Linked DNA regions of Schizosaccharomyces pombe. The protein of the gene in region 1 purifies or fractionates together with the protein of each later gene. This does not show direct contact. Each region holds a gene or a part of one and is shown on either strand. Other genes may lie near its edges.

The links.
Region 2: the proteins of ysh1 (region 1) and cft2 purify together in Schizosaccharomyces pombe (affinity purification with mass spectrometry, with the first as the bait; one study listed by BioGRID). This does not show direct contact.

What each region holds. Positions count from the first base shown.
Region 1 is NC_003424.3:3,620,186-3,625,530, reverse strand, and holds ysh1 (cleavage and polyadenylation specificity factor complex endoribonuclease subunit Ysh1), read left to right. Parts: upstream 1-1,820; 5' UTR 1,821-1,886; coding exon 1,887-1,934; intron 1,935-1,988; coding exon 1,989-2,075; intron 2,076-2,121; exon of another isoform or gene 2,122-2,124; coding exon 2,125-2,222; exon of another isoform or gene 2,223-2,355; coding exon 2,356-2,484; exon of another isoform or gene 2,485-2,525; coding exon 2,526-3,426; exon of another isoform or gene 3,427-3,470; coding exon 3,471-4,017; exon of another isoform or gene 4,018-4,060; coding exon 4,061-4,524; 3' UTR 4,525-4,770; downstream 4,771-5,345. Other genes in the region: pof8 (LARP7 family RNA-binding protein Pof8/Lar7), read right to left, coding at 454-1,662; sideroflexin Fsf1, read left to right, coding at 4,874-4,936, 4,977-5,002, 5,051-5,160, 5,274-5,345. UniProt on the Schizosaccharomyces pombe protein: Component of the cleavage factor I (CF I) involved in pre-mRNA 3'-end processing.
Region 2 is NC_003423.3:1,127,143-1,132,394, reverse strand, and holds cft2 (mRNA processing protein Cft2), read left to right. Parts: upstream 1-1,921; 5' UTR 1,922-1,969; coding exon 1,970-2,342; exon of another isoform or gene 2,343-2,405; coding exon 2,406-4,426; 3' UTR 4,427-4,441; downstream 4,442-5,252. Other genes in the region: met7 (putative folylpolyglutamate synthase), read right to left, coding at 1-95, 142-168; SPOM_SPBC1709.16C (aromatic ring-opening dioxygenase), read left to right, coding at 323-416, 572-879, 935-1,243, 1,317-1,499; ngl1 (peptide N-glycanase), read right to left, coding at 4,555-4,853, 4,899-4,937, 4,983-5,142, 5,189-5,252. UniProt on the Schizosaccharomyces pombe protein: RNA-binding component of the cleavage and polyadenylation factor (CPF) complex, which plays a key role in polyadenylation-dependent pre-mRNA 3'-end formation and cooperates with cleavage factors including the CFIA complex and NAB4/CFIB.

The DNA.
Region 1 (5,345 bases):
AACTCAGACCTATGAAAACACACCTCAATTTCAAGAACTTTTCGGTATGCTAAATTAATATATAACATACAGAAAATATTTCATTTTAAGACTGTTAGCAGTGAAGAATATTACGTTTCGTAGTTAAAAGGCGTTAAGGAAAATACAAGCCGGGAGCAACAATGATGTACAGAATATGTAATTAAAATCTAAGTAATAGAATTTTGCAATTGTGGGGTGGTAAACCGTTTTTACATATTTGTGGTTCATGGTTTATTGGAATTTTTGCTGATCGCAATAGGTTATCAGCCAAATGAAAATTAGAGGGGTTATTAATACAAAAAACTGTTAATGCAAATTTAGTATTAAAGTGAGAATAACGACCGTGTTACCTTTTTGTATGCCTATATTACCAGAATATATTATAAAGTAGTAAATAAATCAAATTAGTATTACCAGAGAAAGGAAAACATATTACTTTTTTAACATACGCCAATAATTCTTTTCTTCTTCTCCGGTAATTAGCTCAGCAATCAGGAATGGACGGCTAGATCCCTTTTTCCTATGTGCCCGAATATCATCATGACTGTTTTGTTTCCTTTCTTGTGTACGAAACGCGTTGATACACGTCTCAGCATGAAGCGGTGTTTTCCAACGTATTATCGCCTCTGTTTCGTCCTTCCTATAGTCTATATACATGGGCTCACATGCAATATTCTGAGTTTGCCGCGAAAAAACATAACTCAAGAGGCTGTGAATAGTAGATTTATTAGTTAAAGGATGGAGGTTCTTGATACGGGTCAAAAGATTCTTGGTAAAATCCAAATTATCTTCATCTTTATCAGTTTGTGAGGTTTTGGATACAGACTTGGTCATTTGTTTTTCTACTTTAGTAAGTTTGGGATAACGATTTTCAGGAAAGGAATTGGATGAATTTGAAACGTCTGAAGATGACGCTTTTACTAAATGGAGTTGATTTTCAAAATATTTTTCTTCACGATTTGTCCATTCTTTACGAGTCAACAGTACCCATCCAGGAGGGACAGGCAACTTGCTAAGTGCTGATTGATCAACCTTTTTGTACAAAATTACAAAAGCATAACCTTCAGGAGTACCGATAGCATCAACATAGGGAAGGAACTCTTTGAGGTATTTGCGAAGTTTCCCAGCCAAAAGTAAACTTTTATTAGACAGAGTAGCCGGAACTGGTTCAACGTAAATAATTCTATCATACAGTGGTATGTCAAGAGGAAGAACAATATTCTCATTTCTAATAACCATGTGTGAGGAATTATCGAAATGAAACAGCGCATTAGTAACATAAGATAAAGCATACTTCAAGTTATTTTGCGTTGGATTCGGGCGGATTCCTTTCCAGAAATCATCTTGCTGGATTAAAAAGGCCAAGTGCACTTTTTCTTTTTGCCTTTCTCGGTGAAAATAAATTTCTAATATAGAATCAACGGCTGATAAAAAGTCAGGATTTAACGGTTCAATAAGCTGTCTATCTTGTTGATTTAACATGAGTCCTCCGCTTATGGAATGACTTGGTTCTTTGCTGGCTTCATTATGTTTGTAATGCTCATCTTTCAATTTGTTGTTATTTCCATCTGCAATAGAATTATTTTCCTTCCCTGTAAATGCTTTAATTTTGCGAACATTCAGTTGCCTTGGCACAAACATTTTACTTCGCTCCTTAAAGTACGGTTTTCTAGTATCAATTAAAGTGAAGTCATTAATAATAAATAGAATTAGGTGCTCTTAATTAAAAAAAAAAGGGTTGTAAATTTTTGTTCTGCTTTCTCCCAATTTATGTTGAATGCGTAGGTGAAGAATAACTCGCGCTTGCCCAGCACCCACGACCTTGTCTTTCCAATTGTGGTTTTTAGACAAAAGCCCTTGGAAAGATGTCCAAAAGAAAGGAATTTGATGAAGATGCACCTGTAGACCCATCCGTAAGCCTTGAATTTACGATTTTTTATAAGGGCCTACTTTCTAACCAATGTCAGGATTTACTGGAGTTTATTAACTTGGGAGCCGGAAATGAAGTTGGTCGCAGTTGCCATGTTATTCAATACAAAGGGAAAACAGTAATGGTATTTTAATTTTTATTTTGTTATGATTGTGAATGCTAATTTTTGCTAGCTCGATGCCGGTGTTCACCCTGCGTATACTGGGCTTTCAGCTCTTCCTTTTTTTGATGAGTTTGATTTGAGCACTGTAGATGTACTTTTAATTAGCCAGTAAGTCCCTTTTGTACCACTACTTGAGACGACCATAGGTTATTAGATTAGAGTACTTCTTGTACCAATTACTATTATGGTCCCTTAGGCATTGATTCATTTTTTTTTGAAAAGTATTTCTAACTTAAGCAAGCTTCCATTTGGATCATGTAGCCTCGCTTCCCTATGTTATGCAAAAGACGAACTTTAGAGGTCGTGTCTTCATGACTCATCCTACAAAGGCAGTTTGCAAGTGGCTTTTATCTGACTACGTGAAAGTGAGGTATGTATTCTTAGCTCTGAGTATTCATTAACAACTCGCAGTAATGTAGGCATGGAAGATCAGCTTTACGATGAGAAAGATTTGTTAGCCGCTTTTGATAGAATCGAGGCTGTTGACTACCATTCAACTATAGAAGTTGAGGGTATAAAGTTTACACCCTATCATGCGGGCCATGTTTTGGGTGCCTGTATGTATTTTGTGGAAATGGCTGGAGTCAATATTTTATTTACAGGCGACTACTCACGAGAAGAAGATCGCCATTTGCATGTCGCTGAGGTTCCTCCTAAAAGACCAGATGTGCTGATCACAGAATCCACGTATGGTACAGCATCTCACCAACCAAGACTGGAGAAGGAGGCTAGACTGTTAAATATTATTCATTCCACTATTCGCAATGGAGGGAGAGTTTTGATGCCTGTCTTTGCTCTTGGAAGAGCTCAGGAGTTATTACTCATTCTCGATGAATATTGGAATAATCATCTCGATCTTCGCTCAGTCCCTATCTATTATGCATCATCGCTAGCGAGAAAGTGTATGGCCATTTTTCAAACTTATGTTAACATGATGAATGATAATATTCGAAAAATTTTTGCCGAACGAAATCCGTTCATCTTTCGTTTTGTCAAAAGTCTAAGAAATTTAGAAAAATTCGATGATATTGGCCCTTCTGTAATATTGGCAAGTCCTGGTATGCTACAAAATGGTGTTTCAAGAACCCTCTTAGAAAGATGGGCTCCTGACCCTCGAAATACGTTACTTCTTACTGGTTATTCTGTTGAAGGGACAATGGCAAAGCAAATTACAAATGAGCCTATTGAAATTGTGTCACTTTCAGGCCAAAAGATTCCTAGAAGAATGGCAGTGGAGGAACTTTCTTTTGCGGCTCATGTTGATTATCTTCAAAACAGTGAATTCATTGACCTGGTAAATGCCGATCACATTGTATGTTTAGTTACTAATGTAACGTTAAAATTAACTAATTATAGATTTTGGTGCATGGTGAGCAAACAAATATGGGTCGATTAAAAAGTGCTCTAGCCAGCAAATTTCACAATAGAAAAGTCGATGTCAAAGTATATACCCCTCGAAATTGCGTACCGTTATATCTTCCTTTCAAAGGGGAACGGTTAGTGAGAGCTTTGGGAAAGGTCGCTGTTCATAAACCAAAAGAAGGCGACATTATGAGTGGAATTTTAATTCAAAAGGATGCCAATTATAAATTGATGTCAGCTGAAGATCTTCGAGATTTCAGTGACCTTACTACCACCGTTTTAACCCAAAAACAAGTCATTCCATTTTTTTCGAGTATGGAGCTTGCAAATTTCCATTTAAAACAAATGTTTGGATATGTCAAACAGTCAAAAACAAAGGCAGGACAACCTCAATATACAGTAATGGACGCCATTACTTTGACTTTAATCCAAGAACATAAGCTTGCTCTTGAATGGGTTGGCAACATTATGAATGATACAATAGCTGATTCAGTAATTACTATTCTACTAGGCATTGAAAGCAGTCCTGCTTCTGTCAAGTGTAAGTCTGCGTTTAATGTGGAACAATTTCTAACCATTAATAGTGACGAGCCATAAATGTAACCATTTGCATTCGCATTTAGATAAGCCTCCAAAAGTATCAAAGGAGGAAGATCGTATTAAAAAGCTGATGATGTTTTTGGACAACCAATTTGGCGAAAGTATGACTAAAACGGAAAAGGGGGTTGAAATCAAATTTGAAAAATATGAAGCGTCTATTGATTTTTCGACTATGAAAGTTGAATGTTCAAATGAAGCGTTACGATCTAGAGTCGTACATGTTTTATCCCGTGCGATCAATACTATCCTTCCATTTTCTGAAGCTTCACAAAACGACGTCTCCGAAGATGATTTTGAAAATGAAGAATCTGACGATGATAAAATCTTTGAGCAGCAAACGAAAATAGAAGATGATGTTAAAAATGAAAATAAGACAGAACCAGTTGAAGAACAGAAAAGCGAAGAAAAGAATGAACAGCCCAACCTTAAGAAAGAAGAACTTTCTTGAAAATTATTTACGAACGAATCTTTGCCTTTCATAGCCATGACACTTTTATGGCTACCTTCATTTTTTGCTATTTAAGTCTCAGTAGTTATCATGCACTCTGGTATTTCTGTTAAAAAATGCTGTTTCTTAGTCATGCGTGATCGAATCTTTAATTTATTCTTGCCATTTACGTCAAAGACAAACAATTTAATAGCCATTCCAAAAAAATTGACTAGTACTTAAAAAAATGCTATAACTATTTAGATTTTTGTAAGGAAAACTTTTTTTGTAGCTATTATGAACTCCAAAGACACTACCAATCGGGTTAATTAAGCAAATTTTTGTACCGACTACCAACACCAACACCACAATGTCCAGCAATAAGCTGCCCACCTCTAAGTATGACTTGTCCACCTATTGGGGACGTGTTCGTGTATGTTATATTACTCTTTGTATTTATGCTAATGCGGCAGCACGCTATGGATATTACTGATCCAAGGTAATTATAATTTAACTACATGATCGTTTGAGCACCTAACATCTGTAGGACACTTCTCTCTACATCTCAAGATTTAAATAGCGCCGTCAAAACTCTGGAAGACTATGGAGCGGGTAAAATTGCACAATTAGATGAAACGGTTTGGCATGCAAAGAAAAGTATGTAGTTATACGATACAAATCCGATCAAATGTTATATTATTTGATTAGTTATTTTTTTTGTTATTAAATATATTTTCAAATTAAAAAAAAAAACATATTAACGATTTTAGTTGTTGATTCAACTTTGCATCCCGATACTAAGGAACCTGTTTTCTTACCATTCCGAATGTCATGCTTTGTCT
Region 2 (5,252 bases), on another chromosome or scaffold:
ACCATCGACTGATCATTTGGGATCTTTCCCCTTTTCCTAAGCACTTCCAGCACTTTTGCATTGGATTGCAAAGAATTTAGCCGATTGATAGCTCCCTTAAAGCATTAGTTAGTAAGTGATAAACAAAAGGAAAACTAATACCTCGAAAGTCTTGGTTTGTGGATTCATGCCAATACGAGAACTTTTAAGGTTGAAATACCTCTTGACGGGTTTGGCAGTGTGCATACTCGCCTACTGGAAAAACAACAGCGTTAGTAACACCACCCAAAAGCCAGTGGAGTCAAACGATTTAGGCTATTTTGAAATTGAATTTAACGGGACTATGGCGAGTTCTCGACTATTAGACTGGATGTCTCGTATGAGGTCTGTTCCTCAACTAGAAAGGCTTATTCCAGCTCTGTATTTAGCGCATGGATGTAAGTATATTGAATCAACAGAAATTTATATAGCAGACGCATAATATGCTGAGTTAATGGAATTTGCTGACTGACTTCATCAAACTATCTCTCAATTTCATATAACTCGATACATAAACACTTTATTGATACTAGAATAACTAAAAATTGTTTAGCTCCATTTTTGATGTTACCACAATCATCGGATGATGAGGTTTTCAGTAATGATTCTAAGCTTGGAGGGTTACATTATCAGTTTTTAGAACAGTTAGGACCCTTTCTATTGGAAAAGTTTAGACCGAAGGGAATAATCGTCTTTTCTGCACACTATGAGTCTCGTGGATCAGTTGAAGTATATTCGAGAGACGATGAAAACCCACTTTTTTATGACTATTACGGATTTCCAGATTATTTATACCAGATCAAGTTTCATTCCAAAGGCTCCAAGCGGATAGCCGATCAAATAATTTCTGCCCTTAAAGAAGTATGCCAACGCAGAATCTTTTCTGTTTCATAGATTATTGATGCTAACCCAATAGTACCAAATTCCAGCAAAAACTGTTTCAGGTGATCGTGGATTGGACCATGGTGTTTTTGTGCCATTCAAAATCATGTTTCCCGATGGACTTAATATCCCATTAATAGAGGTGAGCATGCATACCCTAGATCCCATGCAGCTATATAAAGTAGGACAAGCATTGCAAAGTTTGCGGAAGGAGTATTTGATAGTTAGCGGAGGACTCAACATTCATACTTTCGAAGACCTCTCTGCATTCAATGAAGATACGGCAGCTGATGGATATAAAGAATTCCAACTGGATATTCTAAAAGCTATTGAGACTGATAAGGTATGTATGTTACTTGTCGTTGAGGATGAGTGCACAATATTTTGAACTTCTTGTACTAATTTCGAACCTATAGCAAAATGATCGTCTGAATAAATTATTAGGATTACAGCTACACCCTTATTTTCGAAAAGCACACCCACGCGAGGAACACTTTGTTCCATTATATGTCGCTGCGGGCCTAGGAAGCTCTGGGAAATCTAAGGTCGTTTGCGACCTCTATGGCGCCGTCTCTGCTTTTTTTGGAATCGATGAATGAATCAATGTCTAATTTACAGTTATTTGTTATTACAGAGTGATAATTTAAAAGCTAAAAATTATTTTGATAATTCACTTAATGCTTTCAGGACAATTTTCGATTTGATGAACCATTTCCTAAAATTAGCGCATTTTGAATAAATCGCCAATTGATAATCTATACCAGTCACTTATAACTCAACTCCTTACATGGTATATTTTTAATTAATGATGTTACCAAGAAACCGTATTTAATAAACATCCGTCTTTGTTAATATATAAAAATTACGAAGCCGATTTATCCAATATGCTCGTTGAATGATTTAGATTAACTAAAGATTTAGTTATAATAAAGACATTAAAACTGGTCAATTTAGAAGATTGACAAGTTTTCATATTATAGTATCGCTTGGATATATTCTTTCTGATAGCCATCCAACCCCCACTGTTTACTACCATCGAGTTGTAAAGTCCTGTCTTTGGGCAATAACCATGCTCAACTATCAATGTTTAGAGACAGACTCCTATTGTGGAACATCTCATATTGAGTTAGATGGAATTCATATCTATATAGACCCTGGCAGCGATGATTCATTAAAACATCCGGAAGTACCCGAACAACCAGATTTAATCCTTTTATCTCATTCGGATTTAGCACATATAGGAGGATTGGTTTATGCTTATTATAAATATGACTGGAAAAATGCGTATATATATGCTACTTTACCAACAATTAATATGGGTCGGATGACTATGTTGGATGCAATAAAATCCAACTATATTTCAGACATGAGCAAAGCTGATGTAGATGCTGTTTTTGACAGCATCATTCCTCTTAGATATCAACAACCCACATTACTTTTAGGTAAGCAATTGTTCTTGTGAAAAAAGTCTTTTGAACTTTTGATTATACTAATTCATGATTTAGGAAAATGTAGTGGGCTAACCATTACTGCTTATAATGCTGGACATACCTTGGGAGGAACTTTGTGGAGTCTTATAAAAGAATCAGAAAGCGTTCTGTACGCTGTTGACTGGAACCATTCTAAAGATAAACATCTAAACGGCGCTGCCTTATATTCGAATGGCCATATATTAGAAGCTCTCAATCGACCAAATACTTTAATTACTGATGCTAACAATTCACTCGTATCTATCCCTTCCCGTAAAAAGCGTGACGAAGCTTTCATAGAGTCTGTTATGTCTTCTTTGTTGAAGGGCGGTACTGTTTTATTACCTGTAGATGCCGCTTCTAGGGTATTAGAATTGTGTTGTATTCTAGATAACCATTGGTCTGCTAGTCAACCGCCTCTACCATTTCCTATATTATTCCTTTCCCCTACATCAACAAAAACTATTGACTATGCTAAAAGTATGATTGAATGGATGGGTGATAATATAGTTCGTGATTTTGGGATCAACGAAAACTTATTAGAGTTTCGAAATATAAATACGATTACAGATTTTTCTCAGATTTCTCACATAGGACCCGGACCCAAAGTGATCCTCGCTACCGCGTTGACTTTGGAATGCGGATTCTCTCAGCGAATTTTGTTAGATTTGATGTCTGAAAATTCAAATGACTTAATACTGTTTACACAAAGATCCAGATGCCCTCAAAACTCACTTGCAAACCAATTCATCAGGTATTGGGAACGTGCTAGTAAAAAGAAACGTGATATTCCTCATCCAGTCGGTTTGTATGCTGAACAAGCTGTCAAGATAAAAACGAAAGAACCTTTGGAGGGGGAAGAATTGCGATCGTATCAAGAACTTGAGTTCAGCAAGAGAAATAAAGATGCGGAAGATACCGCTTTGGAATTTCGTAACAGAACCATATTAGATGAAGACCTTTCATCATCATCTTCTTCAGAAGATGACGACTTAGATTTGAATACAGAAGTTCCCCATGTGGCTCTTGGATCTTCTGCTTTCCTAATGGGAAAGTCTTTTGATTTGAACTTGAGAGATCCTGCTGTCCAAGCTTTACATACCAAGTATAAAATGTTTCCATACATTGAGAAGAGAAGGAGGATAGATGAATATGGAGAAATTATCAAACATCAAGACTTTTCTATGATTAACGAACCTGCTAACACATTGGAATTGGAAAATGATTCAGATGATAATGCTTTATCTAATTCTAACGGAAAAAGAAAATGGTCCGAAATAAACGATGGTCTACAACAAAAAAAGGAAGAAGAGGATGAGGATGAAGTTCCTTCTAAAATTATAACAGATGAAAAAACTATCCGAGTTTCATGTCAAGTTCAGTTCATAGATATTGAGGGTCTGCATGATGGACGTTCTTTGAAAACTATTATACCACAGGTAAATCCTAGAAGACTTGTCCTTATTCATGCTTCAACTGAAGAGAAAGAAGATATGAAGAAAACGTGCGCCTCTCTCAGTGCTTTTACCAAGGACGTTTACATACCCAACTATGGTGAAATCATTAATGTTAGTATCGATGTTAATGCATTCAGTCTTAAATTAGCAGATGATCTTATTAAAAATTTAATTTGGACTAAAGTTGGCAATTGCGAAGTTTCACATATGCTGGCTAAGGTTGAGATCTCTAAACCTTCTGAAGAAGAAGATAAAAAGGAAGAAGTTGAGAAAAAGGACGGTGATAAAGAAAGGAATGAAGAGAAAAAAGAAGAGAAAGAGACACTTCCTGTTCTTAACGCCTTGACTTTAAGATCAGACTTGGCAAGAGCGCCCAGGGCTGCTCCACTTTTGGTAGGTAATATTCGGCTTGCCTATCTCCGTAAAGCACTTTTAGATCAAGGAATTTCTGCTGAATTGAAAGGAGAAGGTGTTTTATTATGTGGGGGAGCTGTTGCCGTAAGAAAACTCAGTGGTGGTAAAATATCCGTTGAGGGCAGTTTGAGCAACCGCTTTTTTGAAATTCGAAAGTTGGTTTACGATGCACTTGCTGTCGTTTAACTAATGTATGAAAAAAAAATTTAATTAGGATTACATAAAAAAAAAGCTAGTAACTAGAAAGGATTCATGTACAACATAACTAATAAATGTTTGGTAATAGAAACGGAACGTAAAGCTTTATGAAACAATCATTTTCCTGCTTCCCCTCTTTTCTCTTTCCATTCAACATTCCCCGTTTGTCTTGCTGGCAGGTCAGTGTTAGTGGGCGTGGCCTGGGAAACAGGACGCATATAACCATCAAGTTCATCTTTTTCACGTTTGTCTTCCTCCTCTAGAGCCTTACGTTCAGAATCAGTTAGTCGGGACCGAAACTCAATATTAATCTCATGCAAAGCCTGTTGTAGGACAGATTCGGGGCATCGATCACGAGGAAGACCATTCTCAGGGTGACGAATATATCTATGCGATACATCGCGAACACTATCGACTATTTTTGCATTAGTAACAAATAAAATTAAAACCTTTTCCGTACTCCCAAAACCCAAACAATATGACATCTTCTTTCCCCAACCTAATGCTGTTAGAAATCAAGTTTTTCAAGGAGTTAGAACTCTACCTTGTTCGTATATCAAAGGTTCATCGAATGATTCTTCACCACTATCGACATGCACCCAGCGTTGCTGTTTATTACTATAGACTTCCGTCCACACATGGTCCTCAGCATTCCAAATCCACCTAGCTCTAGATCCAAGTGCTCTGCATAGGAAAGTGAAACACTAAGAAAATGTTAGCTTTATATATTTATAAATATTTTTAACTCACGTTGGCCCACTCTCCACATCTTCCCTTCCTTGAATCAAGCAATGCTCGAATGCGATTATACCTG